Linked DNA regions of Danio rerio. The protein of the gene in region 2 interacts with the protein of the main gene of each other region in a biochemical or structural test. Links are inferred from orthologs where the notes say so. Each region holds a gene or a part of one and is shown on either strand. Other genes may lie near its edges.

Evidence for each region.
Region 1: the proteins of pdgfra (region 2) and pdgfc form a complex in vitro, tested with the Homo sapiens proteins (2 studies listed by BioGRID and IntAct, with this or other methods). The link is inferred for Danio rerio from reciprocal best matches to the Homo sapiens genes PDGFRA and PDGFC.

The regions. Positions count from the first base shown.
Region 1 is NC_133189.1:40,275,010-40,279,629, reverse strand, and holds the start of pdgfc (platelet-derived growth factor C), read left to right. Parts: upstream 1-1,654; 5' UTR 1,655-2,235; coding exon 2,236-2,347; intron 2,348-4,620. UniProt on the Homo sapiens protein: Growth factor that plays an essential role in the regulation of embryonic development, cell proliferation, cell migration, survival and chemotaxis. Potent mitogen and chemoattractant for cells of mesenchymal origin.
Region 2 is NC_133195.1:25,016,039-25,019,863, forward strand, and holds part of pdgfra (platelet-derived growth factor receptor alpha precursor), read right to left. Parts: intron 2,153-3,825; coding exon 2,001-2,152; intron 1-2,000. UniProt on the Homo sapiens protein: Tyrosine-protein kinase that acts as a cell-surface receptor for PDGFA, PDGFB and PDGFC and plays an essential role in the regulation of embryonic development, cell proliferation, survival and chemotaxis.

The DNA.
Region 1 (4,620 bases), on a different chromosome or scaffold from region 2:
AAACATCCACACACACATTCACACAAACTGATACACTATGGACAATTTAGCCTACCCAATTCACCTGTACCGCATGTCTTTGAACTGTGGGGGAAACCGGAGCACCCGGAGGAAACCCACCCGAAGGCAAACTCCACACAGAAATGCCAACTGAGCTGAGGTTCGAACCAGCGACCCAGCGACGTTCTTGCTGTGAGGCAACAGCACTACCTACTGCGCCACTGCCTCGCCACAGGACATACAGAGAATAGAAATTGCGGTTAATGCAGACCCTAGGTGCCCAACATATAATGTTAATTTTCTCCAATTTTCCCCACAAGTCCAAAAACATGGTATAGGTGAATTGGGTAGGCTAAATTGTTTGTAGTATGTGTGTGAATGAGTGTGTATGGATGTTTCCCCGTAGTGGGTTGCAGCTGGAAGGGCATCTGCTGCATAATATGCTGGATAAGGTGGTGGTTCATTCCGCTGTGGCGACCCCTGATTAATGAAGGGACTAAGCCGAAAAGAAAATGAATGAATGAATGAATGAATGATTGTACAAAAATATTGTGTCAGGTTTATTTTGTTTAATGTCATAAACTCTCACTTATTATTTAACATTATTTAATAGGTTCGCTAAGTGTACTAGTTCATTTATAATGTAAATGTAATGTAATGTGTATTTATATAGCGCATTTATCATGTATGGCCATACATCCAAAGCGCTTCACAATCATGAGAGGGAGTCTCTCCACACCACCACCAGTGTGCAGCATCCACTTGGATGATGCGACAGCAGCCACAGGACAACGGCACCAGTGCGCTCACCACACACCAGCTATTGGTGGAGTGGAGAGACAGTGATAGAGCCAATTTGGTGGAAGGGGATGATTGGGAGGCCATGATCTTAAGGACCAGTTGAGGGACTTTGGCCAGGACACCGGGGTTACACCCCTACTCTTTCACGAGAAGTGCCATGGGATTTTTAATGACCACAGAGAATCCAAAAGACAGCACCCACTGACAGTGTAGTGTCCCCTTCACTTTTACTGGGGCATTAGGACTCACACAGACCACAGGTTGAGCGCCCCCTGCTGGCCTCACTAACACCACTTCCAACAGCAACCTAGTGTTCCCTAGTGGTCTCCCATCCAGGTACTGACCAGGCTCAGCCCTGTTTAGCTTCAGTGACTAACCGGTCTTGGGTTGCAGGGTGATATGGCTGTGGCATTTACACATAGTTATGTGTTACACTGATTAAGGGACCCTTTTCACAGATATTTTGATGTTATATTTCAGTAATTAGAATTTTTCATAAATTATTATCAGTTATTTATAAAACATTGAACATTTACATTTAAAAAGCTTTTATTTATATAAAATCAACTCATTTATGTTGATGCAGACTCAAAAATGTGACATTTATCTGAGCTCATCAAAACTACAAATATATATTAAAATAATAAAACTCAAATGTTTCTTAGAAGTGATTTCTGAATGCATTACATTTTATGTAGACCTACTTTTAAATAACTTAATCGATCGACAAACTGACGAAATGAGTCTCACGTCACTAATCCATATGCTCGCTCTCTTTCTCCCCCTCAGACACACACACACACACACAGAGAGAGAGAGAGAAACATATAAACTTGTGTGGCGGTGGAAATGTGAGAAATCTAGTCTTTGACTCAAAGCGACGGCAGCACCAGCAGCAGTTGTGAATGGTCCCCGCCTCTCCGGGGAGTTTCCTCCGCGGGGAACTTTTACTTTATGCGCAGCACCTGTTGTGTCGCCAGTCGGCCGTCTGCGCTCGCCAAACTCCTGGAGCCTCCTCAACACATTCATCTCCTTCACTAAGTTGGACGCTACAAGTGGCATTTACCCAGAGCCGGGCGCTATGTTTTGCGTAATGCGAGTGGACTATCTGAGTTCGCGAGAGAAACACTTTACAGACAGACAAATGTATGTTGCGCGTCTCAGATTTTAGTTTTCTCCAACTGTCCCTGTGTTTAGGCGAACAGGTGTGCGCTCACTAACAACTATTAATGCTTAACTTTGCGCAGACGCGTCTCGGAAAACTTTAGAAGTTTTCGCTGCAGAAACTCTGGCTGATCAGGATTATGTGGACTTTACTTTACGCGTGCCCCTTACAGATGTGTCCAAAGTTGGATACGCGTCTCACGAACAATATTTCTGCATGGTGATTGAAACAACGCATACTAAGTGCACCGACAGCCACCATTTATCCAAATGATTCCGTTGCTTCTGTTGATTGTTATATCGTCTCTTCATCAACATGAGTCGGTGGCGGAATCGAGTCACATCAGTAAGATTCACCACGCCAGCACGAAAGAACAGAACGGTAAGTTCAAAGAGTCATTTCTTCATCCGCGCAGAGACTTCTGCATGGTGCTGCTGCTTTAACTTTTGAATAGCCATAACAAACCCTTTTATACATATTCCTTTAAATGCATTATTGCTATTTATTTTATAGCACTGTATAATTAATTATAACCTATATAAATTTGACCAATATTTGACTCCCATTTAGACCAAGCACTATATTTGTACTCTTGAGTTTTGTGGGACTTCTGATGGCGCTGCATTGAGTTCATGTGCAATGAATGGCAATGGCAAGCCTTTTTTACATTTATTACTTATGAATTACTTTTTAAAATATTGACTGAAGATAATTGTAGCTATATAAACATGTTACTCATTTGTGTACTATTAAGTAGATACAAGTGTCTGTTATGCCGCACTACTAAAATTGAAATATCAACTTTTTTTTAATTGTCAGTACTAGTAAAACTGAGGCAAACTAGTAATAGTTGCTTAATAAACACAACTATTATAAACAGAAATTAACTATTGTAATAACCCTTTGACCCTCTACCAAACGGTTGGCCATGTTTTTACTGTTTTAAATAATGACTTTTAAGTAAGAATCAAACAAACATAATCCTGTTGCACTACTACTCTTGATTTTATTTTTTTAGTAAAAACGTGTTAAATGAGAATCTGGAATATTTTATGGCATATACTTCGAAAAATTAAGATGATTTGGTATTCAATAATGTTTTATTTTGATTATTTTTAAATTAGTCTTACACTTCATATTTTCAGTTTTTTATAGTATATGTATTAGTTTCAGTACATTTACTGTACCATAAACCAACATATCAACCATTTGGTAGAGGCTGATATTTTAGAAATTATGGGATGTGTTGGGAAAAAATGTGTGTTAACTTGCAACATTAGGACATCTAGAAATATATATATTTCTAGACACTTTTTTTCTAGACATTTTTGTTATAATTACCTTAATAATTGTTGCGGTGTTGTCTTATATCAATACTTAAATGTAACAAAGTACTTTAATCAGGACACTGTACTGTTACCAATAAAATATTATAAATAAAACTGCATTAAAAGCCCTTTTTGTATTACTGACTAGGCCTGCAAAATTATCTAAGATTAAAAAAAAAAAACTGTTGAATGTTATGTTTTAGTAATGATGAGCAGCGTTGATTAATTTATGTTAATACATAATTATATAAAACCTATTTTGATTTCCAGTTTTTAGAATTGAACAAAAACGTGTGTGATTGGTTATAAAGCTCATCAGTTGGGGGAAAGACTCCATAAAAAGTAATCTGATGCAATATGTGCAACTCTTTTAATATGAAATTAGCTGCATTTTTCATTAATTTTAAATATTTCAGTTCATTATTTATTTTTATTTTTTTTTTATTTAGACTATTAGTTCTTTATCTTGAATGTTTTGGGTTTTCATTTGTTTCCATTTTGCCAATAATCTTTTTCTAAATCTTTTTTAATGTAGTGTCCAAAAATATACTAGGACCTACTTTTGCAATAACACAAAAATATCGGTCACACTTTATTTTGATTGTCTGTTTGTTAAGTTTCATTTACATTGCAACTTATTCTCATTAGATTATAAGTAGACTGTTAGGTTGGGGTTATGGTTAGTGTTAGTTGACATGTACTTGCAAAGTTTCTTATAATCAGTTAAATGTCTGTTGAAGGAGCAGTATCAACAGATATTAAGCAGACAGTCTACTAATACTCAAATGGACCATCAAAATAAAGTGTTACCCAAATATATTATTAGCATAAGTAAAGTAACAAGTGTAGTAACAAAACTATGTAACAAAAACTAGGTATTAATTAGTGTAGGGCAATACATGTTAAAACAGCTTGCCATAAATGGTCACAATTTATGAGGTTCACACAGCATTATGCTTAGTAGGAAGTTGAAGTTACCTTTGGCTTTCATGTGCACGAAACGCACATCTGTATGTGTATTTAAGAGAAAAAATAAAGCTCCTGGTAACTGGGTCCCCTGAGAAGGGATTTCTCTCTGATCACAGAAAGACCCCATTCATGAAGTGTGGGGTGCCCTGGGGCCATGTAATTTGCTTTCCTCTAAATCCCACCAAAACTCACAGGTGAACTTAAAAAAAAAGGAGAATGATAAAAAATAAAGCAAAAGTTGTTTAAATTTAACGTCTATTTGCTCAGAAAGTATAATGTCAGTGTTGTAAAGCAGGCGTTGGTGGGGACAGGCAAACTGTCGCCCATTGCGCACCATTAACAAAATGTAAACTACTG
Region 2 (3,825 bases):
ACAAACTCAGCTCAGTTCTGTTCCAGATCAGGCTTGGAAGCTCTCTACACAATTCCACGCTGCTTTCAAAAACAGAGGTTGGCTCATTTTTAAAGATAATGCTTCTGACAAATTCACTTAAACAAACAACAACAGAGGCGTGGAACAAACTAACCTAATAAACCAACATCTTTTAATTCAGAACTCACATTCATTATCAAATACACACAAAAATGACAACTAAATAACTAGCCAACTAACTAACAAACTAACTAACTGACTGACTGACCGACCGACCAACCAACCAACTAAGTTTTAATATAGTATTTCCATTCATCAAATGCAAAAAAGCCATCAAGCAAACTTGATTAAAAGTTACAATTACCAACAAATAACAACAAAATGTTTAGAACTTAAGCTAAGTAACCAACCATTTAACATCTTTACATTTGGTTTTCACATTCATCAAATACAAAAAAAAAAAAAAAAAAAAAAAACTAGCTAACTTGTCTGGAATTTTCAATTACCAACAAATAACAACAAAACATTTTAAACTGGACCTATAAATAACTAACTAACTAACTAACTAACTAACTAACTAACTAACTAACTAACTAACTAACTAACTAACTAACTAACTAGCTAGCTAGCTAACTAACTAACTAACTAACTAACTAACCAACTAACTAACTAACTAACTAACTAACTAACATCTTTAAATTTGGTTCTCATGTTTATCATACAAAAATACAACTTGTCTGAAATTTACAACTACCAACAAACAACTAACTAACTAACTAACTAACTAACTAACTAACTAACTAACTAACTAACTAACTAACTAACTAACTAACTAACTAACTAACTAACTAACATCTTTAAATTTGGTTCTCATGTTTATCATACAAAAATACAACTTGTCTGAAATTTACAACTACCAACAAACAACTAACTAACTAACTAACTAACTAACTAACTAACTAACTAACTAACTAACTAACTAACTAACTAACTAACTAACTAACTAACTAACTAACTATATATTATTCATTTATTAGAGACTCTCTTTATTCATCAAATACAAAAATACACCCCTAAACCATCTTATACGTTTTGAACTCATGCTCACCACCAAATAGATCCAAAACTAACTAACATATTATAACCTCAAAACTATCTGCTTGTTTTTTAAGTAATTTTAACCAAACACCAAATATATATATATATATATATATATATATATATATATATATATATATATATATATATATATATATAAATTAAATATATATTTTTATACACATTCAAGAGTTCCATTAACTTAAACATACATCTCTTGGTTTGGAGCTAACATCACTGTACACACAAACAACAAATAAAATAAAGCTAACATTGTTTGATTAAAACTTACAATAAACAACAGGATATTGTCAAATAAAACCAACTAACTCTGTAACTAATTATCTACCTGACAGACTTACTGACTAACTAACCTCTTTTCATTTTCATTTCAACTACATTCAGCATCAACAACTAATAATCACATTTCTGTATTCGAAACTCACAATAATCAAACACACACAAAAAAATAAACAAAAAACATATTACACTATCCTTAACTACAACTTACTACCAGCAATATTTCATTTAAGGAAGCAAATTTCCTCAAAAATGTTGATTCAACTATTTGTATGTTCCTGACCGTCACACATGTGGATTCACAAGAGCACAGAGGTGAGAAACGCACATCTGTCTTCAACACTCACAGGACGGGCAGGTCACAGGTCAAAGCACATGGTAAATTAGTGTCACTCTTTTCCTTTGAGGTTTCTAGCTTCACTTCTGTAGCCTCACATTTTTGCATTTCCTTCCTACTGTTAAAGATGGACTGAGGAAATATCACCTCTGCATCACACCATACATCTTCAGTCCTGGACTTTTAGATAAGCCTGTTTTTCTTCTAATAGATAACCACAAAACAGAAAGCAAAGAGAGAGAAATAAATCAAATGAAATTCCTGCCTGTTTTTGGGGATGCAGCCACTGCTGGTGGAAAGCCATTCCAGCAGGAGTCTCACAGGTGAGGTTGACTGAATCTCCCTCTTTCAAATCCTCCATACTGGCGCTCAGCTGGATGCTGAAGTTCTGGTCTACAACCTCAGGAACGTCAGTAGCTTTAATGCAAGCAAAATTGGCCAAAACATGAGCAATGCTGCACTATAATAAATGACATGAACAATAAGTCATGACAACATACAGTATGATTTTTATTCATTTTCCTTTAAATTAGAATGACATAAAGAACAAAAATGTATCATTAATACTAAAGTGAATGCATTATTAATGCAGATAATGCTTAAATGTGATAAAATACATTTAAATATGTTACTAAGTGTTGTTAAATCGTTAAAATCTCAAACAGAGTTGACTTTTTCCAACATTTTAACCTCTGTTTTAACCTCAAACCAGATACCACAGGACTAACCACATGTCTAAACCTGAATTGTATGTATTTTCATCATATTGCTATAGCTTTTAAGAAAATGTGTTAGTAATTCACTGAACTATTATAGTAACAGAGTTGACAAATAATTAATCTATATATCTAATGTTGATGTTTCCTAATTAAAACACTGTAAAACCCGAAAAGTTAAGGAAACTCAAACCACTTGATAAAACCGACTGCAACAATGCATTTAAGTTCAAAAGTTAATCTTAAAGAGTACTATGAACTTAATCCATTTGAGCAGGGGTTTAGTTCCAACCCTGCTCCAACACACTTACCTGTAGGTTTCAAACAAGCCTGAAGGACTCAATTATAGTTTGAAAAGGTGTGTTTAATTAGGGTTGGAACTAAACTGTGCAGAGATGCGGCCCTTTTGGAACTGAGTTTGACACCTGTGCATTTGAGTAAATAAAGAAATTTGAGCACAGTAAAACCCAATAAATTAAGATAAGACAAACCAACTGAGTTCTGTAAAACCTGGTAAGTTAAGGCAACTCAAATCATTTAAGGAAACCGATTGCTACAGACCATTTGAGTTAAAAAAACTAATCTATATGAGTACTGTGAACTTACTTTAATTAAGTTAAAGTAATGAGGTATTTAATTAGCTTATCACCTTCAACACTGAGTTCAAAACTCTTTTCAAATGAGAAGAATTAACTTTCAGTAAATTTTGAGTTAACTACACTCATTTCATTTGATAAAGTTGACTGTTGGGTTTTACAGTGTAGATATTTTGTACAAGTGATTGAGAGTAGAATACATCTCAATGCTTTCCAGAGCTTCCCCCCAGATCAAGTGGCATCACTTGAAGCAAATCACATGATTTTTAAGTAATAAGCATTTTAAAGCATGGGGTGCCCAAATCTTTTCTTATGAAGGGCCAAAATAACCAAACTTATATTTCATTAAATTGGAAATGATAATGTATATTAAAACCATTAACCCCAATTCTCCCCAAAATCTTCCCTTTCTTCTCAGATGGGATGGCGAGCAAAATCAAAGGTTACAATGTTTAAAGGTGTACAAAGGTTCTCTGCTTTAATGGTTGAACACTTTTTTTAAAAACCAATGTAACAAAGTTGACCAAATTGTAGGAACAGACTAGAAATGCACTTTTTTTTTTTTTTACTGAATTAAAAAAAACATACAGAAATTAGATGTTTAACACAAATGTTTTAGCTTACTAAAGAAAACACACACAAAAAAAGATCAAAATGTAATTATCTCATTAAAAGTATAGCTAAATGAAAGATTCAGAAAGCGGAGACAGTAAAAACAGTTATAGTAGGAGTCTTTAGGTTATTATTTTCAAGACAAAACGAAGATAAAAAACATACA